7 linked regions of the Macaca fascicularis genome follow. The protein of the gene in region 1 interacts with the protein of each later gene in a pairwise test. Links are inferred from orthologs where the notes say so. Each region holds a gene or a part of one and is shown on either strand. Other genes may lie near its edges.

Region 1 (3,910 bases):
CACACCTATTATCGGAAAAATATATATGTTGGAAAAGCAGCTCTCAATTGCGATGAAATAAATGACAGCCACTTTCAAGGCCAATAACTGAACAATTACAGGAAAGCATTGAGTCTTGTGCCAACATGGCTGCTCCAACCCGAGATGGCCGCGGTACAAAGGATATTTATACGTTGGGTTTCAGAACAATAATTCAAGTGCTCAAGAGCCTCATCTTGTGATGTTATCACAAGAATGTCCAGGCAATGTTTTCTTTAACTCCAGGAAGAGTGATTTAGAAGGACGGATCTTGCCACATGTGTCCAGCTGCGTATTTATTGCTCTTGGAAGAGAATTATTCTGTAAACACAGAAATATCCAAGAATGGATGCTTGAAAGATGATCTTTTCCTTGCTTACAGTTGTCAGGACCGTGTATATGCAATAGTACAAAATTAATAAACTCTATCAAATTTCCTGTAATCATAAACCAGGCAATAATATTTTATTTGCATCAGAAGGTCTGATTCTGGGATTTCACTCTCCTATCGTTTGAAGACTGCAAATTGAACCAAGTGTTCTTAGAGCCTGTGAACTCTTGCTCACAGTTACATAGCCAACCAGTCTACCTATTTTTTTTTTTTTTTTTTTTTTGAGACGGAGTCTCACTCTGTCACCCAGGCTGGAGTGCAGAGGTGCCATTATCAGCTCACTGCAATCTCCACTTCCTGGTTTCAAACGATTGTCCTGCCTTAGCCTCGTGAGTAGCTGGCATTACAGGCATGCACCACCGTGCCCGGCTAATTTGGTTTTTGTTTTGTTTTTTGTATTTTTAGTAGAGACAGGGTTTCACCATGTTGGCCAGACTGGTCTCGAGCTCCCGACCTCAGGTGATCCACCAGTCTCAGCCTCCCAAAGTGCTGGAAATACAGGCGTGAGTGACCGCACCCAGCCCGGTGTACCTATTTAACAACAGAGAAAAGTTTCCACTTTTAGGAAATGGAATATTGCCATTTATTCCTGAAGAAACTTGTCTGTTTTTAATGCCCTACGGACGTTTCTCCACACCAGCTATTCCTGCGGTAGGCGTTTTCTCTCCAGGATCATTCTGACATGATTTTATAGGAATGGTCATAAGAGAAGGGCCCGTCCCTTGCTACTTATGCACACCGTGTATTCATCCTAGGAAAAGTACAGTGTGCCGGGCGTGGGGACGCCTTTTTTTTAACTTTTATTTTCGGTTCAGGGTACATGTGCAGGTTTGTTATATAGGTAAACTGTTGTCACAGGGGTTTGTTGTACATATTATTTCATCACCCAGGTATTAATCCTAGTACCCAAGTGTTACCTTTTCTGCTCCTCTCTCTCCTCCCACCCTCCCTCCCTGCTCAGGTAGACCCCCGTGTCTGTTGTTCACCTCTTTGTGTTCATGTGTTCCCTCATTTGGCCCCACTCATAAGTGAGAACATGCAGTATTTGGCTTTCTGTTCGTGCATTAGTTTGCCAAGGAAAATGGCCTCCAGCTGCATCCGCGTTCCCACCAAAGACATGATCTCATTGTTTTTTATGGCTGCATAGTATTTCATGATGTATATGTACCACGTTTTCTTTATCCAATCTGTCATTGCTGGGCATTTAGGTCGATTCCATGTCATCGGTATTGTGAAAAGTGATGCAATGAACATTCCTGTACATGTGTCTTTATGGTAGAATGATTCGTAATTCTCTAGGTGTATACCCAGTAATGGGATTGCTGGGTCAAATGGTAGTTCTGTTTTTAGCTCTTGGAGGAATCTCCATACTGCTTTCCACAATGGTTGAACTAATTTACACTCCCATGCACAGTGTATAAATGTTCCCTTTTCTCCGCAACCTCGCCAGTGTCTTGTTCCTGTTAAAAGGGCTTGAAGTGTTGCCCAGAGAGCCATTGACTGCAGCCACTGCATTTCTGACTATTCCATATCATTGTTTTGAGAAGTGAATCTTTCCCTTTATCCTGCTCTCAGGATACCTGGGCAGCTGCAGGATGATCTTTCCCATAGGGAGCAATGATTCATCCTCAGGGACTTTGGCAGTTTCTCTTGTGCAAGGTCAGCTTGCACTCCCAATGCAGCACGGAGGTCAAGGGTAATAGTGGCCTCATTGCATCTACTCTCAGGTTTCCCAGGTCAGATCTCCCTCCCTTTTGCCGCTGTGATTTCTTCCTATTCAAATCATGAATCATAAAGAGGAGCTCATGGAAAATCTTTTTATAGAAATGGACATATTATTTCTATGGCTGCCTTTCTATTTTGGGGGCAGGGAGAAGGGGAAGATGCAAGGCTGGGTCACAGCCGGACAGGATGGGGGCTCTGGTGCCAGCCCTTACCTGTATTTAAAACTGAGATAGCTTTTTCTGACACAGTAAAAAATAATTCGTGCTTTTCAAGAAGTGGAATGTGACCAGGTGTGGTGGCTCACGCCTGTAATCTCAGCACTTTGCTAGGCGAGGCGGGCAGATCACCTGAGGTCAGGAGTTTGAGACCAGCCTGGCCAACATGGTAAAAGCCTGTCTCTACTAAAAATATAAAAATTAGCCGGGCATGGTGGTGGGCACCTGTAATCTCAGCTACTCGGGAGGCTGAGGCAGGAGAATCGCTTGAACCTGGGAGGCAGAGGTTGCAGTGAGCTGAGATTGCACCACTGCACTCCAGCCTAGATGAAAGAACAAAACTCTGTCTCAAAACAAACAAACAAACAAAACACGAAGTGAATGCATTCAAACACAAAACTGCCTTAGCTAATGAAAAAGAAAACAAAAAAGGTGTTATCATTGAAAATTATGACCTATTAAAGGGTGAGTTTTAATTATTCATCCAGAGGAATTAACCATCTTTCAGCTAAAGATGGCAGACAGTGGGACAGTTAATGTCTTTGCGTGCATCTCTTTCAGAGAGTGCTTAATGGGACCTGGATTTTCTCTTCTTTTTGATAGGTTGCTGAAAAGGCAGGTGTCAAAATGACTGAGCGCTTTGACTGCCACCATTGCAACGAATCTCTCTTTGGCAAGAAGTACATCCTGCGGGAGGAGAGCCCCTACTGCGTGGCGTGCTTCGAGACCCTCTTCGCCAACACCTGCGAGGAGTGTGGGAAGCCCATCGGCTGTGACTGCAAGGTACCTGCCACGGGACTGCGGGTCCCCGGCTGCTCCCCCAAGAAACACGGGCTTCTCTGTGATTTGTGCTGAAGCCCTGATCCACCACTAAAGTCTGTCTCTTGAGCCCCCTCCGAGAGGTGTGGACCCTGCATGTAGCCTTTCGGAAGCTTCTTCCCTCTAGCTAATGTGATCTCTGCCCACAAGCACTGGGTGAAGGCCTTGCCAGGACTTTCGTGCTTAGTGTCTCTGAGTACATTCTCTGTGTTCTAGTTATTAGTGCCCTTATCTAACCACCCAGCTGCCTACCAACACTGTAACTTTCTTAAGGGCGGTGCTCTCTTCCTCTTGTCTGTTTGCCCCATGGTGAGTAACGCGGAGCAGGTGCTGTGCTCAGTCAATATTTGATGAATGAATGTGTGCATGAGAGAACCAGAGTGGGTTCCTGGATAAATGGGCACATAAAAGTACAAAGTCCTTGGAAGATTGTGGGCTCTTTTCCTTTAATGAGAGAAGGACAGGATTTGTATTGTTTCCTTTCAATGGGGAAATGCGTTCACGGCTCTCCTGGGATGGCACAGCGTGGTTCAGCAGAGACCACTGGTCACTTGTACCAGTATTTAACAGGCCAAGCATGAGAGTTCAGCCACCAGACTGCCCAGTTCCAGCCCGGGCTCCGTGTCTCACTTGCTGTATGGCCTTGGGTCAGTTACTTGACCCTTCCGTGCACATCTCCACATCTATAAAATGGGGAGAACCAGGCCAGGCACATAGGCTTGACGCCTATAATCCCAGCACT
Region 2 (4,527 bases), on another chromosome or scaffold:
CCAAGAAATTTTACAATCCATTTTTCTTTCAAATCTCTAATATATTTGCTTCTAGTGAATTATGTCACAGTGCATGTCTGACATGCACAGTCATCCATGATCTGATGACTCTGCAATTGTAACTTGTATTGTATGCTCTCTGAATATCCCCAAACTTGGTATATTGCTCTTTCAGTTCCTGTGTTTTCTTCAGCCAAAATACCTATCCCCATTTAATCATCTCTCAATATTCTACTCATTCTCTAAGGCTCAACTAGAAGAGCAGTTCCTTAATGGCAAGCTCCCCTGCCACACTCAGCACAGAGGCCTTACTTTTCCAATTCAGGCATAATTAAATTCTACATATTTCCACCAAATGCTACATTGATAGATAAATTTTATTTTAAAAATCAGGGGGTTAAGACATGGGCTCTGGGACTCACATGTGATCAACCAGAATCACATGTAGTCAGACAACCTGGGTCCAAATGATATCTTTGCCATTAACAATATAGTTTTGAGCAAGTTACTTAATCTTTTGGCATCTCTGTTTTCTCAACCTAAGTATGGAGAGGAGAGCTACCTCATGATGTTCTTGTGAAGATTATACAAGATAACGTCTTTGCTTAGTGCTTGGCAAAGGGTTAGAACTAAGTAAAAAATAACCATCATTAATATTATCATAATTATGCTTGACATGAAAAGAGATAATCAATATTAAAAGGTAAATAAAACTCTGTGATACTTTGCAAAATTTTTATTACAGATTTACTGAAGATTTTGCCTTTACTAGCCACCCAGATTCCTTCTTTGAGTTGTTTCATTACAGAGGAAAGTTTATTTATCTTGTGTATAAAATATTTGTTTTAACTAAATAATTTATATATTTTTTCCAAATCAAGTGGCCCTGGGAGAAAAACAGTTTGCCTCAAATAACAGTTTGCCATCACGGACTTGTTATCTTGTCAGTTTTTCATTTCAACATAAAGCACTGACAACTGCTCAGGTTCACATGAAACTGTGGCCTTTGTGAAGCCCTGTGTATCTCTAGCGTTCACACACAATTTTCCCACAACTGAAATCTCAAGGCCCCACTAAGCCCTAAAGAGATCTAATTATGTCCATAATAACTTGGGGACAGGGCCAGAGGGTCACTGTCCTCCAGTCATTGTCTGTTGTTATTGAACAGTTGCATTTCCTGGACAGGTTTCCTTTATCAACTTGTGAATTGTTCCCTTGTTACAATGATCCCCAGAATTTGTGGGGACATATAATAGGCAGAAATCATTTTCTAATCATGTGGACTTCTTGGAATTAAAGCTCACTGTTGATCTTATTTCAAACCACAAAATTAGCATGTCGTTAAATATTGTATATAAACAGCCACAGAAGCTGATAGACCATCATCTGTCCAGCACTACCTTCACTTCTCTTCAATCTTGGAAAAACGGTAAGAATTTTAGATACGGATTTGTTGTATCTTCTCCTAACCACGTATTTCAAAGTAGCTTGAGCTATAGAAAAAACATAGTTGCTTAAAATATAGTGTTTGAAATAAAAGTATTTAAGGTAGTACTGAAATTATTTTTAACACTTAGGCTAAAAAAGATAGAAGTGCCCAGAAGAATTTGGTAAAAAAATTGCAATGACGTATAGCCTTCACGAGTTTAAGAAAATGTAATAACTAATTTTATGCATATGTATATTTAGTATGAGGCTAGTTCATAGTTAATATTAAAAGGAGATTCATTTTTGAATTAATCTTCCAATTTGATTTAGCATATCACAGCCATAAAAAGAAATATACTTAGATTACAGTGTGGGTAGATAAATAATTACTGGAAAAGCTTTATCCAACAGGTAGTTTACAGCAGTAGCATACTGAGTCAAGAAATAGAGGGAATGGTTTGAGGGCATTTACTACTTTAAATATTTATAAACAATGTTTTCAGAAGAGTTTACTCATCAAACTTGTCTAGAGCCTCAAATTTCCCAGTTTATTATCTACTTTGTAACATTTCAGAACAATATTAAAATGAGACAGAAATACAGAATTAAGTTAAAAAGAAACAATGTGATTTACTTTGTAAGAAAATTCTTAATGGGGTAGAGAAGACTTGGAAACCATAAACAAAGATAATAGATGATATAAAAGAAAATAGCTCAGAGCGTACCAGTCGATAAAGAAACTCTGACTTAAAAATTAGTATATAGTATATTTATAGTATATAAATTAGTATAAAAATTAGTATAATTGGTATTAGTATATATTAGTATATTTGTATATAAAATTAGTATAGTAATTATATATTAGCATATAAAATTAGTATATATTAGTCGATTAGTAATAAAATTAGTAAAGTTTATAAGCAGATTACTTATAAAATATAGAAAATGCTGTGGGATCCTCCCTAAGTGCAATTATATACAAAATAGAGTGCTATATTCTTTTTCTGAACCCCGACATAAAAAATTTGGAAACTTATGGAGGTCTTAGGCAAAGCAAAATTAATAAAAAAATATTTAACATTCATAAAAAATCTAGAAAAAAATTTATTTTCCATAATAGAGAGAATTATGTTCAACTTTCAAATATTGAAAAGAACATTTTTCAAATAAATTAGAGACTTTTTTCATGAAGTATTTTTAGTTCAAAAATTGAGTTTCAAAATCTGAAAATGAAGATTTGAGTGTCAAGTAATATTGTGGCATAAACATTATTTTGGAATTAAAAAAATGTAAGAACACATAACAAGGAGATGATTTCGTATATTTTGGTCATAAATGTTAACATATATTTCACAAGAAGAGGTAGTCCCAAGCTGGACAGTGGGCAAGAGGTCCTGACTCCTTGGCAGATCATCAAGAGACCTTTGTGTACATTTTAATACAGAGAAGAGAAGAAGCCTAGTGTATAATCTCTAAAGTCATGGGGCATAAAGGAGAACAGATATTATTAGCTATGTGGGGAAGATGGATATAAACAGAGAAGAAACAAACTTTATAGTCCAACAATTCTCTGGATAGTGACACAAATAAGGAAAGTGTTAAAATGAAAATCTCAGTCTTATTGGAAATGAGGAGAAATAATTAAACTAAAATATTCATGGTAACCGTTTAGTGAAAATAAAAATATAAAAATAAAATGTGACTTTTTTGTACACATTTTCTTGATTAGTCTCTTCCAGTAGAACTGAGGCTCCATCAGGGAGTAATATCAGGACTGTAATATTTTGCTCATTGCTGCAGTCCTGGTCCCTAGACAGTGTCTGGCAAGAACAGATTCTAAGGAAATATTTTTATATTAATGAATAAATCTTTCCATATATATTTATAACTTCTTTATGCCTTTTGAAAAATCAATACTGCAAATGGGACGTTTTTAAAAGTGGGGATGAGTTGTTAGCTGAAATATCTGAATAGTTGGCAATGAAGTTTGGAATTTGATAAATGAGAATAGCAAGCCAGAATAGATTTTGACCTGAGTCATATGATATAACTTCTATTTAGTATTTATTCTATTTATTTTCTAAAATGTAGACATTTTTGTCATACATTATCTCTCTTTTTTATAAAAAGTAACCTTACCTAACTAAATAAGAAATATATCCAATTAACCAATCTATCACTATTCAATTTTTTCTCCATTCACAGGACTTAGTAGCCATGAAGGTCATCATTCTTGCCTGCCTGGTGGCTCTTGCTCTTGCAAGGGAGGTATGTGCACAAGAAAAAATTCATAAAAATCAAGAAATAGTGGACTATATGCCTATTTGTAGAGAATAACATCACCAACATTTTTTACTGTATAATAAAGAAGAATTTCATGAAAATTATCTTGACTTCTATCAAAATCATTTATATTTACCCACTGTCTCAACAGTTTCCTATAGTGCTCCAAATGCTTCCGACACCAATGTGCTGCTAGTCACTAAAGAAAAAGCAAACAAATCAATAAGTAATAAAAAATCATAAAAATGGCAACAAATACATGCATAAATAACTCCACAGATGCTCAACCTAGATAAACATATCTTATTCCAGTCATAAAATGTATATATATCTTATAGCCTAGGGCACTGGGTCCAAGTCTGTCTATACAAAGGCATCCATAGGATGAAGTACAGACACAATCATAATCCTAATCATACATTCATAATAATATAGTAAAAATATTTAATACAAATTAAAGTGACTCAACCATCAAAAACTGTCTTTAATAAATGTAAGATAAAAGTATATTAATAAAAATTACTAAATGTAAAAGACATTAAAGCAATTACCTTTCAAGCCTCAAAAGTCATATAACATTTTTAATTTGTCACATTTGTGAAAGAGATAGATCTGCATAAATGATGTAAAAATTAAGTAGGATACATGTTTAACAATGTGTTAGCTGTAGAAACTGAATTTTTAAACATCTTTTCAGAAGGAACAATCCAGTGCATCCTTTGAGGTAAGATTTTTTTTGTTTAGAGAAAATTTATGAACCATAAAATAGTAAAATTCTCTAATGATCTAGAAGATGTAGCTGGTTGTCATTTTTTT
Region 3 (3,910 bases), on another chromosome or scaffold:
TAGCCTCCACTTGGAGAATATACCAAGCTCGTGCAAGCCAGGTAACCTCTCCAGTTCCACATCTCTGAGGAGCATAGGACTGTTGCAGCCTGTAGGTGACTGTGGTGACCAAGCCAGCAGCCACCTGGGCTGCTTTTCATACCCGATCTGTAGGTCATTTATCAGGTTTTGTTGTGTTAACTTTAGGTGTCACCAATAACAAGTAGAGGAATTTTAAAAATAGTATTTTTGAATTAAATGCAGTTGATTATGCCTTTATTTTAGGAAGAAAACCTTGTGGTCCCGTGATTTACTCGGGCATGGCATGGCGCTGTGCTCGCACTCAATGTGGGGACAGTTACAGGGACGCTAGGCTGGATTTTCCTGTGGGCACATCACAGAAAGGCAGAGGCTTCCCAAGCTGGTTTTTGGAGAGTGAAGTTCAAGAACGGTGTTTTATCCTCAGGTGATAACCACTTTGTATTTCAAGTGCTAGTTCCTTCTCTCCCCACCCTTCCACAACAAAGTGTACCTTAGATATCCCTTGTGACCAGAAAGTGCTAAGGCTTAAAAACGCACAATTGAAATCTGTGGGTGAGTCTGCACTTTGAGATGAAGCTGTGTTAGCCCGCCTGTCTGAACACACTAGTGCTTCCTCCAGGGTGGCACCAGGTTTGGTGGTTTCTGGGCCGTGGTTTGTTCTTTGGTAGAATTGTTTCCTTCAAAGCAGAACCCTGAGCCCTGTGGTTGTGGCTCACACATGTTCCTGCACAACCTGGAGGCAGCACGTGTGTCCTTCCATCCCAATCCACTGTGATGTTTGCCCCTTTCTTTCTAGGGCGCTACCGTTTTGGACGATACCAACACTTACATGGTTACGAACGTTAGATCTGTACCATAGGAATTAGTTGGGATGGAGTGACTGAAAATGTCAAGCCGGTTTTCGTGCAAGTGTGTCACCCCAGAAGCTTTATTAACTGGGTGTGATAACAGCTGGTGTGGTCGCAGTCTGTTCTGTGTCACACACTCAGCATCCTCATCCCGGCTGTCCTGAGCCTATCCAGTTGTGCAGACAGAACACCAACAATTAGGAAAGTTACGCTGTTAAAAACCCCATCTCCAGTTTATTCTTCCTTAGCGTTTGGGGCTCCTCCCCGCTCAGGACGGGTCCCTGGGAGTGGACTGTGTTGAATGACTCTTAGGCCTCCCCCTCACTGCGGGTCCCTGGGAGTGGACTGTGTTGAATGACTCTTATGTGCTCTTACCATGAATGTTGTTGTTTTAAGGCCTTCTTTTTCTTTGTGATTCTTTTGTTCCCTAGCGTCGTCCCCCAGACTACAGTAATACTCAACAATGATCGGCAGAACGCCATTGTAGCCAAGATGGAAGACCCCTTGAGCAACAGGGCACCGGATTCCCTGGAAAATGTCATTAGCAAGTCAGTAGCACGGCACCAACCCCACCTTTCCCTGCCACTGTGAGGAGTCCCGTGAGAATAAGTCAACGTCCCCAAGCCAGGGCACAGTCCAGCACGCACTTCATCTCTGTGGTCACAGGGTTGAGCTTGGCAGGCACCGCCCCAGCTCTCTGAGGTCGGGGAGGGCAGGCTGGGTGATGCTGAGTGCTGAGTCCAGCCACACCAGGGGGCAGCTGCCGCCGGGGACTTCCGTGTCTCGTGCTGGCTGGGGTTGTGGAGGGGGCTGGCTCTGTCTCCTCACAGCAGTCAGTGAAAGCATTCATCCTCCCACCTAGCTCAGTGGTCCTGACGTCTGTCTGTCTGTGCAGAGCGTGTCAGGCAAACAGACACCCTCTCCCACGATTGCTAAGTGGTGCAGGCATGTTGAGTTTATGACTTTTTTCTTATGCCTTTTTCTCTTGAGACATTTTGAACGGAACTTGGGTCAGAGGTGGGAGTGGACAGAAGACGCCATCCCTGCCCTGTGTGAGGGGAAGGCTGTGCAGTGGCCTCTGGCTGGCATCCGGGCCCTGCTCTCCCCAGGAGTGCCCCTTAGGGCTGCGTGAACCCCTGAGGATGCTCTTGCTTTTTCTTTCCCATCTGTGTCTTCACAAAGTTCTATTTGCTTTTTCTCTCAGTCTCCTTTGTGGATTGCTCCTCCTCCAGCTTCGTCCCCTTTCCGTATTGTCTTAGCTCAGTTCTCCAGGGCTGCAGCTGTGGTCACGAGGGTCTGATACGTGGGGTGAAGGGAGAGGAGTTGGTGATGGGTGGTGAGGAGGTGCCAGGGTCAGCTGTGCCTCGGGGGCTTTGCGCTGAGGTCAACCAGGCAGATAGCCAGTGTTGAGATCAGGTTCAGCATGGACAGCGCTCTGGAGAACCCAGGCCAGAAAGCGCAGAGTGCAGCCTCCTCTGGGTGCGGCCAGTGTTTTCAGCACCCCTTTTTTTTGACTTTGCAAATAGAGAAATTGTGGTCCTTTCTCTTCTGGTGCGTAGCAGTCCACGGTAGGGGATGTTGAAAGGGTCATTAAAAAAGGGAAGTAGTAAGTCTCTAAATCATCTTTTTTTTGAGCACTTGTGGAGCTGGCCTCGCCCTGCTTTGCTAGCGGTGTTCTGTCTTTCCACATCAGCAGCCCTTGGGATGATGGCAGCTCCGATGGGATCTCAGTGGGTTTTTTAAGCCCCTTCAGGGTTTTTTTGCCTGTGGGCATACTTGGGAGTGCTGCTTGCTTTGCAGAGGCGGAGCCATCTCCAGCACGCCCAGCAGCATGGATCGAATTGACCCAGGCCTCTGGGCACAGTCTTCTGATTTAGTCTTTCCTTTAACCTCGCCTGAAAAAAGACTCCTACCAGCATTCTATAGGTTGACTGCTGAACTCAGAAGGCAGCATACTAGGCCTGAGTCCCAGTGAGTTATGATTTTACTTCTTTTGTGATACAAATATTTTCTTTAAATGGTTAAGTTTTATTTTATACAGTTTCGTTTAGCCCCGGGCCATTTTCTCCTATGGAGTTGCTATTAATCTTGGTAGAGAGAGCGGTCTGGGAAGGCTGTGTGATCCACTGGTCCATGCAGAGTTAGATCTTGTGATAAGGAAAGCACTGACCTTCGCGTGCTGCTTGTGGCTCTTACCACACTGGGTTGGTGTGTTTTTTTCCCGTTCAGCGCTGTGCCTGGGCGTCGGCAGAACACCATTGTGGTGAAGGTGCCGGGCCAAGAAGACAGCCACCATGAAGACGGGGAGAGCGGCTCGGAGGCCAGCGACTCGGTGTCCAGCTGCGGACAGGCGGGCAGCCAGAGCATTGGGAGCAACGTCACCCTCATCACCCTGAACTCAGAAGGTGCGTCCCAGGCGTCTTCTTTCCTTGGCCAGAGCAGCAGGAGGATTTTTGTTTGTTTGTTTTGCTTTTTAGAAATTAATTTAGTTGTTTTTTAAAAAAGTGATACAGTGGCCGGGTGCGGTGGCTCACGCCTGTAATCTCAGCACTTTGGGAGGCCGAGGCAGGTGGATCACCTGAAGTTGGGAGTTCAAGACCAGCCTGGCCAACATGGAGAAACCCTGTCTCTACTGAAAATACAAAATTAACCAGGCGTGGTGGCAGGTGCCTGTAATCCCAGCTACTTGGGAGGCTGAGGCAGGAGAATCACTTAAACCTGGGAAGTGGAGGTTGCGGTGAGCTGAGATCGTGCCATTGCACTCCAGCCTGGGCAATACAGCAAAACTCTGTCTCCAAAAAAAAAAAAAAAAGTGATACAGTATAGGACAAGCGCAGTGGCTCACGCCTGTAATCCCAGCACTTTGGGAGACTGAGGCAAGTAGATCATGAGGTCAGGAGTTCAAGACCAGCCTGGCCAAGATGTTGAAACCCCATCTCTACTAAAACTACAAAAATTAGTCAGGCATGGTGACAGGTGCCTGTGATCCCAGCTACTTGGGAGGCTGAGGTGGGAGAATTGCTTAAACCCGGGTAGCAGAG
Region 4 (3,910 bases), on another chromosome or scaffold:
TTCCACTTCAGTGGACCTCTCCATAACTCACTTCATAAAGGGAGCAGTATTTTCCCTTTAAAGCATAATGAGACTGGGCCCTTTTAAAATTCCTGTTTAGAGAAACCTAGAAATCTAGATTATCTCTTCTGCGTAAGCTGAAAGTCAGACAGTGCATCCTATATTATTCATATGTACCCTGCCTCATTCCCCCGTTCCCTCTAGACCCTCCATTTTCGGAACCTTTCTTTCTGCCTTCTTCTGCTCCACCCATTCCCCTGTTTATTTTAAACCTCCAGTATCCCCTTTAAAAAATGATTTTAAAATAAGCTTGGAAAACAGAATGCATTCTGTTGCAACAACATTTGTTGATAACACTTTAGGGCTTTAGCAGGTGAGGTCTGATGCTGGAAGCCCAATGACCTCATTGATTGAGCGCAAACTAGAGTAGGAGGGACGCCAGTTCTTCAAACTGGATACCTCTCCCAGTTCAGGGCTCTGCCTCTCCACTTCCCATCCCTTAGCACCTGAAGCAACCTATAGCAGAGGGAAGCCCTGTGGGCCCTGGCAGAGCCTCATAGAATTGCGAGAAACTCTGGCTTCCCTTCCAAAGTCCGGGAGTCCAGGGAGCATCCCGACCTCCCTGGGGTTTTTTGAGAGGAGTGTCACTCACTAAAGAAGATTTTGGAAGCCTGGGGGCCTAGCAGCAACCATTTGTCAGAGCCTACCTGCCTGGTTCTTGGGCTCTGGAAGTGGGAGCTTGGAATCCATCAACAGCTTACAAAGACTGGAGTCCCCCTGGGTGCACCCCTGGGTCTTCCTGTCATCCAGTTGGTGTTTCTGCTGGTTTCTGTCCTACCATTACAGCTACCCTAGGAACCCACTGAAGGAGGAAAATAAGACAGTTGAAGGTGTCACAGATGTAGGGATCTGAGTAGTGATTCACTTTAACATGCATTTGATTGTTTAGAATGTATGTAATATGCAATATGTATGCAATACCACTCCTCAATCTGAGGGTGTTTAATGTTTCACTTCACCAAAATGCAGCATCTAGACCGGCTTATGAATCTTCCGCTGCATTCCGTGAAGATGGAACCTTGTTATACTAAAGTCAACCTGCTTCACGAGCGCCTGCAGGATCTCAAGAGCCGCTTCAGATTCCCCCACGTCGATCTGGTGGTTCAGAGGACACAGAACTACATGCAGGAGGTGGGTGTGGCAGGGGCATCCCTGGTGGAGGAGGGTGAAGAGAGAGCAGAGAAATGGGTGCTGACCAGTGAGACTGGCTGCTGGTGTAGCTGAGGGAAATGCGTCGCATCTCTTTAACCATCATGTTGGGGGAGGACATGTTCAGTCCCTCCACTGGCTTCATCTTCCTTCCATGTGGGTGAACATCATAGACAAGATATAGCTCAGAAAAATAAAGTAGCATTAATTGATAACTACTCGATTTGTCAAATCAGTGCTTTAACCTTGGCTACACGTTGGAATCACCTGGGGGAAATACTGATGTCCAGGCTGGAGGGCAGTGGCACAATCTTGGCTCACTGCATGCAACCTTTGCCTCCCAGGTTCAAGTGATTGTCTTGCTTCAGCTTCCTGAGTAGCTGGGACTACAGGCATGTGCCAACATGCCTGGCTAATTTTTGTATTTTTAGTAGAGATGGGGTTTTACTGTGTTGGCCAGGCTGGTCTCAAAACTCTTGACCTCAAGTGATCTGCCCACCTCAGCCTCCTGAAGTGCTGGGATTACAGGCATGAGCCACCACACCCAGCCTATATGGCTACTTTTTGATAGAACGTCCCTACCCTGATTCCAGCTGCTTCTAATATGCAGCCAGGATTGAGAACCACTGGCTTAAATTAATTCCGTAATGTAATTAAGAGCAAACCAATCAATCAATCAATCATAGCTTCATATTTGAATTTCTTGAGTCTGCTTGACAGGTTTCTTTTTTTTTTTTCATAAGGAACCTTTTCCCCAGTAACAGGAATGAATAGCACAAACTCCTTCCATATTATGGTGTTTCTTGAATGAACAAGGGGTGTGGTCATCAACACTCTAAAGGACACCATGCCATTTCACATAGATATTCTGAGGAGAGATTACTGTGGGCCAGACACTGTACCAGATCCCACTTCAGGGAGCTTGAGTGAGACAAATTCTTAGATAAATTCACTACAGCGTTGAAGGTATGATAAAGGTGTATATTGTGGCCAGGCACGGTGGCTCACGCCTGTAATCTCAGCATTTTGGGAGGCCAAGGCGGTGGATCACTTGAAGTCAGGAGTTTAAGACCAGCCTGGCCAACATGGCGAAATCCTGTCTTTACTAAAAATACAAAAAAATTAGCTGGGCATGGTGGTGCACACCTGTAGTCCCAGCTATGTGGACACTGAAGCATGAGACTCGCTTGAACCCTGGAGGCAGATATTGCAGTGAACCAAGAGTGTGCCACTGTACTCCAGCCTGTGTGACAAAACGAAACTGTGTCTCAAAAAAAAAAAAAAAAAAGTGTATATTGGATGCTTTGGGATCACGGGCTTGGGGAAGAAAGGAGCATTTTTTTTTTTTTTTCATAAAAGTTATGGACAGGATTAAGTGATACATTTTAGCTAACCCTTGAGTTGTGAGGGATGAAAGAGGAAGAAGGAACAAAATTGGGCAACAGTTTAGCAGAAGTCTCTTTCGTAATATTGGACCCTGGTGACGGGAACACAGGCAAAGGTGCAGAGAATAAGATACCTGAACTACTTCTGCTTTCTGAGCCATGAGCATGTCAGCCACTGTCCCCACCCATGCCTGACCCTTCCTGCCTTCCCAGCACTGCAGAGAGAGGGAGAGAGATGCTGCGGAGTGCTTTACATCCACTTAAAAGTGGAGGTGCAGCCAAAAACTAGTTGAAGAAGGCTCCAGCCTCATCCTCATCCCTTAATCAGTGGCTGCAGGTATCAAAGAATAGAAGAGGAGTACCCACAGGAGATGACAGAACGCTTGCTCAGTCCCATGGCCTTGGGTTTTCCAACTTCTTCCTGCTCCCACTGTGGCCACGTGACCATTTGTTTCACAGCCTTGGTGATGGGGTGATGTTGCTGTGGGTCACCCCCAGAGTAACAGCCGAGGGGACTCATCTCTGATGGCCCCTACTCTCCAAGCCCACTTAGCCAGCCTGTGGTTGGTGACCCCAGCCTCTGACTGTTGTCTGTTTCTGTGTCACTTCTGCTTTCTAGCTAATGGAGAATGCAGTGTTCACTTTTGAGCAGTTGCTTTCCCCACATCTCCAAGGAGAGGCCTCCAAAACTGCAGTTGCTATTGAGAAGGTTAAGCTCCGAGTCTTAAAGGTAAAACCGTTCTCTTGTTTGTGGGAAGCATAAAATGAGAACGTGACCCCTGTTTCTTTTGTGAAGTGGAAAATACCATGTTCTCTCCTTCGCTCTAATCTTTCCCCACTCCTTCCTCTCCGAAGTCCAGTGACTTGTCAATCTGCTGCGGTTTCTCCAGTGTGACTTCCATGCCTCTTCTGCCATCTAGTGACCACTGCTAGTCCTCAGTACCATTACCCACAGCTAGAGGCCCTGTGTCCCAGCTTTCATAGAGATAGAACTCGACAAACATTTATTGGCTGTCCACCATAAGTATTGTGTGGGATGTAAAAATAGGCAAGGCCCAGCCTCTTTCTTCAAAGAGGTTACAAATATGGTAAAATCCATTAAACTGGCAAATATTTTATTGAAAAATCAAAACCTCATGGCAAAGGAAATACTCCAAGGAAAAGAAACCTACCATATGAAATTGTTTTAAATGTACTTCAGCGTAAGTGTATATTAAAATAGCTTTAATAATAGGAGCTTGCGCATATGTTATATTTTAAAGGCTTTTACTTGATCCCTACAAGAACTTGTGCATTAACTGGAATATGCCCCCATT
Region 5 (3,910 bases), on another chromosome or scaffold:
TGCTCTTCAGTGATGCAAGGGGAATAAGTTCTAGATAGCCGTATAACATTGGGCTTATAGTTAGCAATGATGTATTGTACACTTTACATTTTAAGAGAGTAGATAATATGTTGAGTGTTCTTACCACAATTTTGAAAAATAAATAAAATGTTGGGAAACGCAGCAATAAAATTTTTTCCATAACAGCTATTTATGATGGAAAGAAAGGTAAAAAGCAGTCGTTTATTTTTTATTTGCTTTGAGGTTCTTTAGAGGGGTTTATTTAAGTCAGGCTGATTATATTACTAACAACATGTAGAAAAGTTCATTTAGGTTTACAGGGAGGCTTATTTTATTTGAGCCACTTAGAATATATATGCCAATATACAGATGAGCAATTAAATTTAATTTTTATTTAAGCCTTTTACAAGATTCACAAATAAAGATAAAGGTAACATGCCTTTTAAAAAAGATTGTCTTTGATATGTTGAGGTCCCAGGAATCAGAGACTTCAACAGTTCCTTAGAGTCTACCCTCCATCTACCCTTGAAAAGACAAAACAAGACATTATTAGTTTCAGGGCAAGCCAGACTAACTTTTATTAACATTTTCTCAGAGTGGGAAAGTTATCTCTTTTCTGCCAGAATGCCTTCATCAACTTGACCTTGTGTTGAACATCTCCATTTTTGGCACAATTCCCAGATATACAAGAAAATTTTTTCAATTACGATGGTATTCATTCAGATACTCCTTTAGGTGTTGTTGGAGTTCCAAATGTGAGTGATTATCTCCAACTTCCTTAACTTGGCAGTGTCTTGGAGTAATGGAAACAGGGACACAGGGATAGAAGTAAAATCTGTAAATTTTTTCAATTTTGGCAAGCTTTTCCTCTTAGTGCTGCAATTTTTCCTAGCACCTCTAAGAATATTGCCTTAACAGTATGGGCATGCTGGCAAAACAAAGCCAAACAAAAACAACATTATACAAAATTCAAACTGGTGTGTGGTGGGGAGGTGTAAATCATTTGCTTTTTTACAAGATTCATTATATGTTTTATTGGTAAATCACAATATGAATCATGTTAAACAATAGTGAAGTATATTGATAATATCAGGACCATTCTATATTTACTGACAACATATTGGGAACGCAGTGCTACCTTTTTTGTACCTTTAATTGTTTCTGTCTTGAACAGTTTACAGGCAGCTGCCTAATCTCAGCACATACGTTATTATTTCAGGTCCTGTGGGAATGGCCGCTGCTGCTGCTGTGGCAACAGGAAAGAAACGGAAACGGCCTCATGTATTTGAGTCTAATCCATCTATCCGGAAGAGGCAACAAACACGTTTGCTTCGGTGAGGGCTCCCTTATCCATATTATTACTATTCCTCAAATACTTCCTGTGAATGACAGACTTAGAACATATATGGTTAGGTTTGTCAAGGATGCTTGATTTGATTCCTTGATGACAGATGTAGACTTAAAAGTATTCTTACAAAATTAAATACATGAAAACAAAGAAATATGATTTAACAGATATGTAATATCACATTAATCCATTCAGAAAAGTTGTATGCCTGCTATGTGCAAGCCATTGTTGTAGACATTGGGCATAGAAGAGTGAACAAAACAAGTTGCTTTAAAGAGCTTGTATCCTGCTAGAAGGGGGAAAGAAAAAAAACGATATGCAATATGTCAGGTGATGATAAGTGCAATGGGAAAAAAAATACAGTGGAGTAAGGAAAATAGAAAAGTCAGGAGGTAGGGGGATATAGTCATTTTTCTCTTTTATGAGGATGGTCTGAGAAATGCTTTTTGATAAGGCAGCCTTTGAACAGAGACTTGAAGACGCTGAAAGAGCACACACGTTGATACTGAGGGGAAGAACATCTCAGGCAGGGGGAATATCAAGAACAAAGACCCCAAAGTGTGAATGTGGTAGTTGTTTTTGAGGAACAGCCAGGGAGATATGAGAAGATGTTCGGAGTAGTAGAGAAGAGCCACTCCAGGAGATCTTTTTTTTTTTTTTTTTTTTTTTTTTGATAGATGCGGTCCTGCTATGTTGTCTAGGCTGGTCTGGGACTCCTGGCCTCAAGCAATCCTTGTGCCTCATCCCCAAAATGCTGGGATTACAGGTGTGGGTCACTGCACCTGGCCTAGGAGATCTTCTTGACTCTTACTCTGAGTGAGATGAGATGTCAGTGTAGGTTTTTGACCAGAGCAATGGTATCATCTTACTTACATTTTTAAAGAATCACTCAGGCTACGGTGTTGAGAATAGAATCTGAGGATACAAGAATGGAATCAGGGAGACCAATTAGGTGGTGATTATAGTAATCTAGGCCAGAAATGATAGTGTCTTAAAATCAACATGGCAGCAGCATGGGTAGTAAGAAGTGATCAGGTTCTAGATGTATTTCAAAAGTCAACTCATCATGATTCATTGACGTGGAGTGTGCGAGAGAAAAAGGAGTGCAGGGTGATTTTTGGTCCGATTACTAGAAGGATTGCGATGGCATTTACTGGAGAGGGAGCAAGCATGACAGTGAGGGTGAGACAGAATCAGGAATTTGGTTTTGGACCTGGTAAGTTTGTGATGCCTCTAACCATTAAGTGGAGATACAAAATAAGCAGTTGGATATATGAGTCTGGAATTCAAATGAGAGGCCTTAGTTGAAGATGATATAAGCATATAAGTAGTATTTAGAACTAGGAGACTGGATGAGGTCACTTAGGGAGGGAGTACGGACTGAGGCCTGAAGCGCTCCACCTTTTGGAGGTTAGAGAGATGAAAGGAGCCAGCAAAAGAGTCTAAGAAGCAACCAGTGAGTCAGGAAACAAACCAAGAGAGTGGTATCCTGGAAACCAGGTACAAAAAGTGTGTCAGGAAGGAGAGCATGTGATCAGCTATCAAATGCTTCTGACAGGTTGAAAAAGATGCCAACTGACCATTAGATTTAGTAACATGGAGTTCACGAATGAACTTGACAAGAGTGTATTCAAAGGAGCGGTAAGGGTGAAAAGATTGGAATAGCTTTAAGGGAGAATAGAGAGAGGGGAATTAGAGACAGTGAATATAAACCATTGTTTCAAGGCATTCCATCAGATTTCTTGTTTGATAAGTGGTCCTTTGCTCACACATTTCAGAATTCTGAAATGTAGAACTTTGAAATCATCTCCCATGATTTCAGAGGGAAGAGGCTGTGTTTCTGTTTCATCCATTGTTACTATGTTTTAAAAAGCTGTTTTTGGGTTGATGGGTACAGCAGACCACCATGGCATATGTATACCTTTGTAACAAACCTGCACATTCTCTACATGTATCCCGGAACTTAAAGTAAAATAATTTTTTTAAGCCGTTTTCGGCTGGGCACGGTGGCTCACGCCTATAATCCCAGCACTTTGGGAGGCCAAGGTGGGCAGATCACCTGAGGTCGGGAGTTCAAGACCAGCTCGGCCAACATGGTGAAACCCCATCTCTACTAAAAATACAAAATATTAGCCAGGCATGGTGACAGGCGCCTACAATCCCAGCTAGTCGGGAGGCTGAGGCAGGAGAATAGCTTTAACCCAGGAGGCGGAGGCTGCAGTGAGCCAAGATTGCACCACTGCACTCTAGCCTAGGTGACAGAGTGAGACTCCATCTTAAAAAAAAACTGTTTTCATTTCATCCTCACTTGTGAAATACTGTAGGACTGAGAATAATTGTTTATATCACAATGAAAATCTGAAGCTACAACGTTTTAAAAGCATAGGTATACCTTGGAGATATTGCAGGTTTGGTTCCAGACCACTACAATAAAGCAAGTAGCACAATAAGTCACAGAAATTTTTTGGTTTCTCAATGCATAAAAAAGTTATGTTAACACTATACTCTGTTAAGTGTTGCAGTGGTATTATGTCTAAAAAAAGCAATGTACATACCATAATT
Region 6 (4,710 bases), on another chromosome or scaffold:
GCAGACAGAGGCCAACAATACATGTTAGTTCCCTTCCAAATTTATTTCCCTCCACTACCATTCTCTCCAAAATTCTAAGCTTAGGGGAGAAGCCAGAGAACAGACGTTTCCTATTTTCTTATCATAAATTTGGATCACACTGTGCAGGGCTTTCTGTACATCCAGAATATCTCCATTCTGGGTCAATGGATTTGGTAGGCCAGTCCTATCCTCAGCTTCCGGGTCATTACAGCTAGAGCACTCCCAGCAACAGCTCCTCACACACCTTCCAGTCTTTGATTTTTCTTTCTTGTAATTCAGATGGTCCTGTCTCAGGGACTCTGTATTCTGGATACAAGATTCTGAAATGTATCTTACAGTTCTTCCCCAACTGCCCACCAAACCGAGTTCTCACCCCAGCGACCAGCATCACCTGGAAAACTGTCTTTTCATTTGTTCCTCAGATGAACAGGTTTTCCTGGGCAAAACATCACCAATGGAGGTCTTACCATTTTTTCATCATAAAGGAACCCCCTTGGGTAGTTGAATGGTCCCCTGGGCTGGTGCCAAAGTAGTCACTATCCCCAAGTTCTAGTCTGACTTGGTTCACAGTGCCTGGGCTGCCCTGGGGATGCCTCTAGTGGGCATCTGTCAGGATGAGAAGCGAGTGTCCCTTTGAAGGAGACTGTGTGTATGTGGGGGTGTGGGGGCAGGTGGCTTCTCTGGGCTTGTAAGAGGCAGAGAAACTGGGATGCCACCAAGCTTACGATTCTCTGCCTTCCAGTCCACCCCTGGCTTCTCATGTTCCCATTTGAGAAGAAAACTAGCCTCCATACTGTCCCTTTCCATATTGTCCCCCCCACCTTGCCACCCCTCTACTGTAACAAAGGCATGTCCACACCACATTTTCAAAGTTATCACAAGTGTCTCGGTCTACCAACAACTAATTCTGATGACTCCAAAGGAGCAAGAGAGACATAAGGGAGACATCTAAAAAACGGTGGGAAAGATTCCCTGGGAAAAGCACAGAAAATCTTGCCTGATGCATGTGAGGCTAAGAATTGTTTTCTCCCTACTGGCTGCTTTTCTCTCTGTTCTAAAGAGAAGCTTCCAAGAATCAGCTAAATAAAGGGATCACACCAGAGGATGCGAGATAATGCTAAACCAACAAAAACAAAGACCCAAATGAAACAGAGAGAGCCATGAGAATACGCGGTTATCAAAACTTTGTTTGGCCATATCTATTTATCATCGCTGCACACCCGGGCTCTGCGGAATATCATTCTGTTGATGTCACTTATCCTCAGCAAAATATTTACACATCCTTAAAAACGCCAGATGAGGGGGGCCGGGCCACGCACTGCCGAAAGCCGCCCCTCAAACCCCATCGCTGGGTTCTGAACAGCCCAGGACGTAAGGGCACGACGGTGGGTGGCACCAGCGGGCACAGGTGAGAGCTACCAACAGTTCCGGGAACACGGTCACCCAGACGCTGCGCCGTGCCCTGCCCACCTTTCCTCTACCTGACTCTGCAAGCAGCAGCCACATACCCGATATGGTGTCGGCGCCTCCTTGTCCTCCTCTCCTGCCTTTTTCATTGATTAAGTTATCAAACCATTGTTAAAGCTGGGTTGCTTTTTCCTTGGAAAACTGGGCTAAATTCATTAAGCTTCCCTCTGCCACAAAAGGAATATTCATAAAAGTTTGGCAGGCAGAAAGGGAGACTGAGTGAGTGCCATGGTGTGGGTAACAATCCGCTCCTCCAAAGCCACCTTTTTCTTCCGTGCCCCATCCCTCTCTCCATCCATCCGTCGTGCCCCAAACCTACTCCAGGGACTTCTGATAGGGGAACACAAAGCAGCAGCTGTTTGGCAACATTTCTGCCCCTCGCCAGCAACTGTGGTGGGATGCCATTTCCCCACCCAGGCGGAGCTTATCCTGAACAATAGTTGGGCTTTAAATGGCAAACAAGCAAACACACAGAGCACAACCCCAACCTCGAAAAAGCCACAGCGGAGAGAAGCAATAACTCCCTCCGCAGCAAAAGGCGCCACTGAAATGCACGCAAAAATGCAGCGAGAACGTTACTCAGTGCCTAACATGGCAGAAAGCCCGAGTTGGTGCGGCCACCCCAGGACTGGGCACTGGGGGGCACCGGGGCTCCTGGGGCGCCGACGCACACTCACCCGGCTCCGGGGGGATGCGGGGCTGGCCGCGCGTCACAAAGAGGAGCCCGGCGCAATCTGGCAAAACCCAACTTTCCACCAGGCTCGCCAGGGCCGCCAGATACGTCAACAGAATCCATCTTTCGAAGGGCCTGGAAGGCGCCGGGTTTTCTGGGCCGGGGCAGAACGGCAGATCCGGAGACTGCCCGGTGCGGTGCCCGGGCGCAGAGTCCGCCGTGCACCACCCTCTGCGCCCGGTGCCAGCGCGGGCGGCTGCCCGAAACCCACTTCGGGGCCCCCGCCCCGCCGGTCGGCGCCGCCTCCCCGGCAGTCCCCGGCCCCGCCGGCCAGTGCGCGGCGCCGGGGACAGGAGCGGGGGCCCCGGCGCGCCACACGGGCGGCGGCTTCGGCCCGCGTCCCCGCCCCAGCCTGGCCCTCCCCGCCGGCCCCGGCCTCCGGGCGCCGTCCTGCCCCCGGGAGCAGGCCCCTCCCCGGGCGCCGGGCCCCGCCAGGCGCGCCCAGCCCGGCGCGCCCCCTGCGTCCCAGTGGCAGCTCCGCGGGGAGGGCGGGGGTGACCCCGGCCCGCACGGGGGCGCCGCGCCCGCTACCTCGCAATCGCGGCCGCCGCCTCCAGGAAGCCGCGGGGTGGTCGCGGGTGCGGGAACTCTCCGGTCTGGCCTCGCCGCCGGCCGCCTGAAGGGGGTGCGCCGCGGTGGGAGCCGCCGTCGCCGCTGTCACCGAGCCGCTGTCGCCGCCGCCGCTGCTGGTTGTGCGTGAGCGTGTGTACGCCTGTGTCCGGGCGAGTGTGTGTCTGCGTGCGGCGCCCGGCCTTTACTATATACACCAAGGGGTGGGAGGAGGCGGGGAAGGGGAGGGCTTGGGGGAGGCGGCGGAGGAGGGGGAGCAGGAGGGGGGCTAAAGGGTACCCGAGGAGGCGGCGGCGGAGGAGGGACAGGTGATCTCGCCCACGGGGAGGGCGTGGCCGTGGGCGGCGCGGGGTGCCAGGAGGAAGGGGTGTCCGGGGCGGGGAGGGGGACCTTGGGGGGAACGCCGGGGGAGGGCCTGAGGAGCTGGGACCCTACTGCCTCCCGGGGGGCTGGGGACCATTCCAGACCCCAGGATGGAGAAGAGCGAAGAACAGAGCCCAGGAGGGAGGAAGTGGCTGGCTGATGGAAGCGGGGGAGGTGGGAAGGGCCCAGCGATCACCCGAAAATGCCAATTGTGATACCGGTGAAGAAAATGCCAATTGTGATACCGGTGAAAGATGCTTCTCACAAGGTGGGAGATTAGGAAAGATCAAATTAGTCCACCTACATAATGTAATTTCCATCCAAGAGGTGATTCGTGTATAAATCTAACCTTTATTAAGCGCCTAGTGTTTGCCAGATACTGGGCTAAGAACTGGAGTTACAGGGACGGTGACTGTATGATTGCTGACCAGTAAATAAGTAGTAGGTGTCAGTTGTACTATTGATCATTTTAAAATTGAAAACAATAAATCCTTAGAATTCTTGAGACAGCCAAGGAAGCAACCAAATTAGTTTAATGATTCTCCAAAGATGTAAAGATTTTTTCTATTAATCAAAACAGGATGAAGATATTTGAGAGAGAATAGCAGAGCAGAAATTCTTTAATCGGAGCACAGAACAAAATGAATCTAGCTGTTCTTGGCAGTCTCGAGCCCCCTGAAGTTCCAATACTATGTGTATTAACCATGACTTTCCTCTTATCAAATCTGAGTTTTATAACACAGTTTTTAATTAGTATGGGAGCCTGAACTTGTGTTTGAAAGGCTCTATTCTAACCATGTTGTGTTGCAGGCATAAGGTGGTAGTAACTGAGGCTGAATGATGACTGTGTTGAGCACTTTTGCCTTTGTGGACTCCTTCCTCCATAGAAAGATATTACAAATTACATTTTACAATTGCATTGGTGTAAAGATGAATATAATAGTATTATATATTAAAACAGTTTCTTCAACCTAAAAAACATTTTTTCTTCTGATTTTAAAAGAAATTAAAAGATTGATGTGGGTGCCTAAAAGTACCATGAGCCCCAGGCACTGTGTCTACTGTGCTTAAGGGAGAAGTCAGCCCTGGTAGTACCGTTCCTTGATACTGAATTTCCTCTTTTGAAAAATAAGAGTTAAATTAAGGAGTACCCAGACCATACAGGGGTGGAAAGACACACAGTGCAAGTTTAAGAATTGATAATAATGAATATCAACAGAAAGTGTCAGTTTCTACTTGTTTCAGTCAGGTTTTGGGGAGTTTAAAATCAGCCCCAACTAATTAATGATACCTGTGGAAATATTTGTCTATGAATGTGTCTTCAATCATTTCAGTAACCAAAGACTTCCTCTATAGAAGTTCTTGGATAAGGTATGTGAGGTCTCGGTTGCCAAGACCTAGTCTGAATACAACTAAAGACACAGCTGGGCAATTATAATTGGGCAAGTTCATGGATGAAAGATCCATAAAGGTTTTGTGTGTGTTGAGGGGGTATGTGTGTATAAGGTAGGGACTGATATCCTGGAAGGCAATTACTAGCCTATTTCTTTTGTTGG
Region 7 (3,910 bases), on another chromosome or scaffold:
AGGGAGACACACATCCTATGTGGTGGCTTAGTCGTGTCTTTTGGCTCCAGGCAGAATGTGGAACAAGGAGATGTCCATTTGAGGGCAAGGAAGTGGGTGCAGACAGGTTGCTGGGTTATGCACGGACCTTCGTAACATTGGCAGGGTAATGGTGCTTGAGTGGTGCCGGCATAGCGGTATGTGTGTGTATGTGTGCATGTGCGTGTGCGTGTGAGCACACACGTATCAGTGTCTGCCAAATCTCTGCATGTGGGCAGCATGCCTCAAGCAGGTCCCTGGCCCACAGAGTGAAATGATCCCCATCCCTTCCTCCCCCAGACCTGTGCACACCGATATGAGGCAAGGCAGCGAGTGGACCAGATCCTGGAGACACGGGATATGATTGGTCGCTGCTTTGTGCTAAGCCAGGACCTGGCCATCCGGGATGAGTTGGATGGTGGGGAATGGAAGTTCTGTGAGGGGCGCCCCCAAGGCCATGAACAATTTGGGTTCTGCCAGCAGGGCACAGCTGCCGCCTTCTCCCCTGATAGCCACTACCTCCTCTTTGGGGCCCCAGGAACCTATAATTGGAAGGGTGAGTCACTCCTCGGGGAGGGGAGAAGGGGACCGAAACCTCCTCTTACCTCGGAGAAATGGCCAAGCATGACCACATGTGCACTGCTGTATGGCCCCAGGGCACTGCCATGCCTTCCACCCCCACTGAGCTAGTGCACACGTGAGTGGGGGGTGCCTCCTTTCCCTTGCACGGCCAAGTGTTCCTCAACGTGCTGGCATGGGCCCCAAGTGCACGCTGGGCCTGCAGCTGGGGCCTGCATGCTCCAACACACTAGCCCACACCTCATCACTGCCATTCCCGTCTCCGCACGCTGCTGCTGGCTGAGCTGACACTCGGTGAGTGTGATGCCACATCTGGGGGACCCCAGGAAGCCTGGGTTGGGAACAGGGTGGGGAGAGGGCTAGAAAGAAGAGGAGGGGCTTCCCCGTGTGCCTGTCTAACTCAGTGTCCAGCTTGAGGGGTATTTCTTGCACCCTGCCCTGGGCACTAACAGGACTGTCCTTGCAGGCACGGCCAGGGTGGAGCTCTGTGCTCAGGGCTCAGCGGACCTGGCACACCTGGACGACGGTCCCTACGAGGCGGGGGGTGAGAAGGAGCAGGACCCCCGCCTCATCCCGGTCCCTGCCAACAGCTACTTTGGTAGGGACCCCTCCCCGGCCCAGAGCTGCTCTAACCCTCTGCTCCTCTCTTTTGTCCTCCCTCTCCATGCTCCCATCCTTCTGTCTCTGTTTCTGTCTCTCACCCTGTCTCTCTCTGTCTTTCTGTCTCTGGCTGTGATCTCTCTGGTCTCTTTTTCTCTCTCTACCTCTTCTTCTTCCACCTTTTTCTGGCCTTTCTGTGGCTCTGTCTCCCTACTCTGTGGCCCCTCCTCTGGATGTCCCGTCCCTGGTGTCTGCCCCTACCCCCCACAGGGTTGCTTTTTGTGACCAACATTGATAGCTCAGACCCTGACCAGCTGGTGTATAAAACTTTGGACCCTGCTGACCGGCTCCCAGGACCAGCCGGAGACTTGGCCCTGAATAGCTACTTAGGTTTGTAAGCTCCCACCTCCTGGACTCTAGGGGCATGGCCTGGCCTCCCCTCCTTCCCCAGGGAACTTGACCTTTGGTGCCTTATAATCTCCTCCTCCCCCAACACACACCCAGGGAGACACACATTGGGCCCAAATTGCAGAGAAGAGCCGGGTCCAGTGACCAGGCCTAAGAAGAGGAGGCCCCAAGGGTGATGGCCTCTGGGGCTGTGAGCCAGGGATCTCCAGGGAGGAAGATTCAGGTGGAGTGAGAGGGCCAGGGCTGAGGATATCCTGGGAAGGACAGTCCTGCCTTCTAGGGGGACTTTCCTTGAGGGATGGATGGTGGGCACATATTGAGGAAAGGGCTAGTGGTGTTGGTAAGTCCCTCTCCTTGTCTCATCTGCCTCCCTCTGCAGAGGAGGAGGAAACCAGGCCTGGGAGATGTTTGGGTGAAGCAGGCTCTCTCTCACTCCCCCTTGTCTCCCCCTCATCCATGTGAAGACTTCCCATTCCTGTCAGGATGAGGGAGTGGGGAGAAGAGGTGCACTGGGTGGGATTCGGGCCTGAGAGGGACCTCTAGCTCTTCTAGCTCCCTGGGTGTGGGCAGGATCAGGCCACTGTGCTCAGCCTCCTACCTGGGCTCCTGGCCTTCTCAGCCATCACCGTTCTGTCTCCTGCCCATTCCCTGAGGCTGACCTCACTGCACTTTTTGTGCCAAGCTTGTCTCTGGGCCTGGTGGGTGTGGGGGGCTGCCAGGCCCTGCGGGAAGGAAGAGCCATCCAGCTGTGGTGCTGATGACTTGGGGAACCTATCTTTTGACTGTTAACCTAGGGGAGGGGCAGGGGATGGGGGAGCTGTGACAAACCCCAGCTTCTGGGTCTTGGGGTGAAGACTTAGGGGTAAGTCACCCTTTCCCCAGGCTTCTCTATTGACTCGGGGAAAGGTCTGGTGCGTGCAGAAGAGCTGAGCTTTGTGGCTGGGGCCCCCCGTGCCAACCACAAGGGTGCTGTGGTCATCCTGCGCAAGGACAGCGCCAGTCGCCTGGTGCCTGAGGTTATGCTGTCTGGGGAGCGCTTGACCTCCGGCTTCGGCTACTCGCTGGCTGTGGCTGACCTCAACAGTGATGGGTGAGTGGGTAGAGGGCCGTGCCACCTGAGGGAGGCTGGGTCCGGTAGCCCCATTCTGGCTGAGGCCACTCAGCCTCCTGCTGGCTCCTCTGGCCAGGGAGGACCCGTACTGAATGTTTCCCTCTCTCCATAGCTGGCCAGACCTGATAGTGGGTGCCCCCTACTTCTTTGAGCGCCAAGAAGAGCTGGGGGGTGCCGTGTATGTGTACTTGAACCAGGGGGGTCACTGGGCTGGGATCTCCCCTCTCCGGCTCTGCGGCTCCCCTGACTCCATGTTCGGGATCAGCCTGGCTGTCCTGGGGGACCTCAACCAAGATGGCTTTCCAGGTGTGACTGGGAACTGAAAGGCTCAGGGGAGGGAGGGGCCGCAGGAGGGATGGGGAAGCCCCTCAGAGGTCAGGGTGCGGTCTTCTGAGGACTCCGGGAGTGAGGGTTCCTGGGCTTATGTCTGAGCTTTACCATTTACCGGCTTTCTGACCTTGGCAAGTTACCTAACCTTTTTGCGTTAGTAATGTCTGCAGGGAGTGGCCAAGAGGATTAAAGATGATGTACGTAGAGTGCCTGGGATTTTGTAGCCTCTCAATAAAATAGAAAACATACCTGAGTGACTGGGGAAAAGTTGAGGCCTGGACCTTGTCTGCAAGGCCCCCAGCCAGGGTGACTGCCTTTTCCCTGTGCCCTGCAGATATTGCAGTGGGCGCCCCCTTTGATGGTGATGGTAAAGTCTTCATCTACCATGGGAGCAGCCTGGGGGTTGTCGCCAAACCTTCGCAGGTGAGGGGAGTCGCTGGGATGAGGGAATGGGTGTGGGTGGAATCAGCAGAGGCATCGGGGAGGCAGAGGCCTGAGGGAGTTGGGATCGAGGGAGGCTGACAGCCGGTTCTCTAGGTGCTGGAGGGCGAGGCTGTGGGCATCAAGAGCTTCGGCTACTCCCTGTCAGGCAGCTTGGATATGGATGGGAATCAATACCCTGACTTGCTGGTGGGCTCCCTGGCTGACACTGTCGTGCTCTTCAGGTGAGCCCCTCACCACCACTTCTCCCTCCCTGAGGGTGTCAGCCCCTCCCTGTGACTCTGACCCCCATCCCGGTGCCAAATCTAATGCTCAAGATTGTTTCCCAGCCTCACGTTCTCACATTTCTGGTGCCCTTGACTCCCCAATTCCAGGGCCAGACCCGTCCTCCATGTCTCCCATGAGGTCTCTATTGCTCCACGA

The links.
Region 2: the proteins of FHL2 (region 1) and CSN2 interact in binary tests that used the Homo sapiens proteins (3 or more experiments, as listed by UniProt). The two-hybrid records come from large-scale screens. The link is inferred for Macaca fascicularis from reciprocal best matches to the Homo sapiens genes FHL2 and CSN2.
Region 3: the proteins of FHL2 (region 1) and BANP interact in binary tests that used the Homo sapiens proteins (3 or more experiments, as listed by UniProt). The two-hybrid records come from large-scale screens. The link is inferred for Macaca fascicularis from reciprocal best matches to the Homo sapiens genes FHL2 and BANP.
Region 4: the proteins of FHL2 (region 1) and NIBAN1 interact in binary tests that used the Homo sapiens proteins (3 or more experiments, as listed by UniProt). The two-hybrid records come from large-scale screens. The link is inferred for Macaca fascicularis from reciprocal best matches to the Homo sapiens genes FHL2 and NIBAN1.
Region 5: the proteins of FHL2 (region 1) and NRF1 interact in binary tests that used the Homo sapiens proteins (3 or more experiments, as listed by UniProt). The two-hybrid records come from large-scale screens. The link is inferred for Macaca fascicularis from reciprocal best matches to the Homo sapiens genes FHL2 and NRF1.
Region 6: the proteins of FHL2 (region 1) and RAI2 interact in binary tests that used the Homo sapiens proteins (3 or more experiments, as listed by UniProt). The two-hybrid records come from large-scale screens. The link is inferred for Macaca fascicularis from reciprocal best matches to the Homo sapiens genes FHL2 and RAI2.
Region 7: the proteins of FHL2 (region 1) and ITGA7 interact in a two-hybrid assay, tested with the Homo sapiens proteins (2 studies listed by BioGRID and IntAct). The link is inferred for Macaca fascicularis from reciprocal best matches to the Homo sapiens genes FHL2 and ITGA7.

What each region holds. Positions count from the first base shown.
Region 1 is NC_088387.1:9,816,137-9,820,046, reverse strand, and holds part of FHL2 (four and a half LIM domains protein 2), read left to right. Parts: intron 1-2,952; coding exon 2,953-3,132; exon of another isoform or gene 3,133-3,136; intron 3,137-3,910. UniProt on the Homo sapiens protein: May function as a molecular transmitter linking various signaling pathways to transcriptional regulation. Negatively regulates the transcriptional repressor E4F1 and may function in cell growth.
Region 2 is NC_088379.1:63,990,031-63,994,557, forward strand, and holds the start of CSN2 (beta-casein), read left to right. Parts: upstream 1-1,381; 5' UTR 1,382-1,429; intron 1,430-3,633; 5' UTR 3,634-3,645; coding exon 3,646-3,696; intron 3,697-4,408; coding exon 4,409-4,435; intron 4,436-4,527. UniProt on the Homo sapiens protein: Important role in determination of the surface properties of the casein micelles.
Region 3 is NC_088394.1:83,903,372-83,907,281, forward strand, and holds part of BANP (protein BANP), read left to right. Parts: intron 1-1,300; coding exon 1,301-1,417; intron 1,418-3,098; coding exon 3,099-3,274; intron 3,275-3,910. UniProt on the Homo sapiens protein: Controls V(D)J recombination during T-cell development by repressing T-cell receptor (TCR) beta enhancer function. Binds to scaffold/matrix attachment region beta (S/MARbeta), an ATC-rich DNA sequence located upstream of the TCR beta enhancer.
Region 4 is NC_088375.1:42,348,991-42,352,900, reverse strand, and holds part of NIBAN1 (protein Niban 1), read left to right. Parts: intron 1-1,029; coding exon 1,030-1,191; intron 1,192-3,213; coding exon 3,214-3,324; intron 3,325-3,910. UniProt on the Homo sapiens protein: Regulates phosphorylation of a number of proteins involved in translation regulation including EIF2A, EIF4EBP1 and RPS6KB1. May be involved in the endoplasmic reticulum stress response.
Region 5 is NC_088377.1:171,159,377-171,163,286, forward strand, and holds part of NRF1 (nuclear respiratory factor 1), read left to right. Parts: intron 1-1,219; coding exon 1,220-1,334; intron 1,335-3,910. UniProt on the Homo sapiens protein: Transcription factor that activates the expression of the EIF2S1 (EIF2-alpha) gene. Links the transcriptional modulation of key metabolic genes to cellular growth and development.
Region 6 is NC_088395.1:17,706,494-17,711,203, forward strand, and holds the start of RAI2 (retinoic acid-induced protein 2), read right to left. Parts: upstream 2,957-4,710; 5' UTR 2,753-2,956; exon of another isoform or gene 2,712-2,752; intron 2,243-2,711; exon of another isoform or gene 2,166-2,242; intron 1-2,165.
Region 7 is NC_088385.1:62,483,189-62,487,098, reverse strand, and holds part of ITGA7 (integrin alpha-7), read left to right. Parts: intron 1-318; coding exon 319-574; exon of another isoform or gene 575-891; intron 892-1,063; coding exon 1,064-1,195; exon of another isoform or gene 1,196-1,430; coding exon of another isoform or gene 1,431-1,467; coding exon 1,468-1,587; intron 1,588-2,487; coding exon 2,488-2,695; intron 2,696-2,828; coding exon 2,829-3,022; intron 3,023-3,380; coding exon 3,381-3,469; intron 3,470-3,583; coding exon 3,584-3,711; intron 3,712-3,861; coding exon 3,862-3,910. UniProt on the Homo sapiens protein: Integrin alpha-7/beta-1 is the primary laminin receptor on skeletal myoblasts and adult myofibers.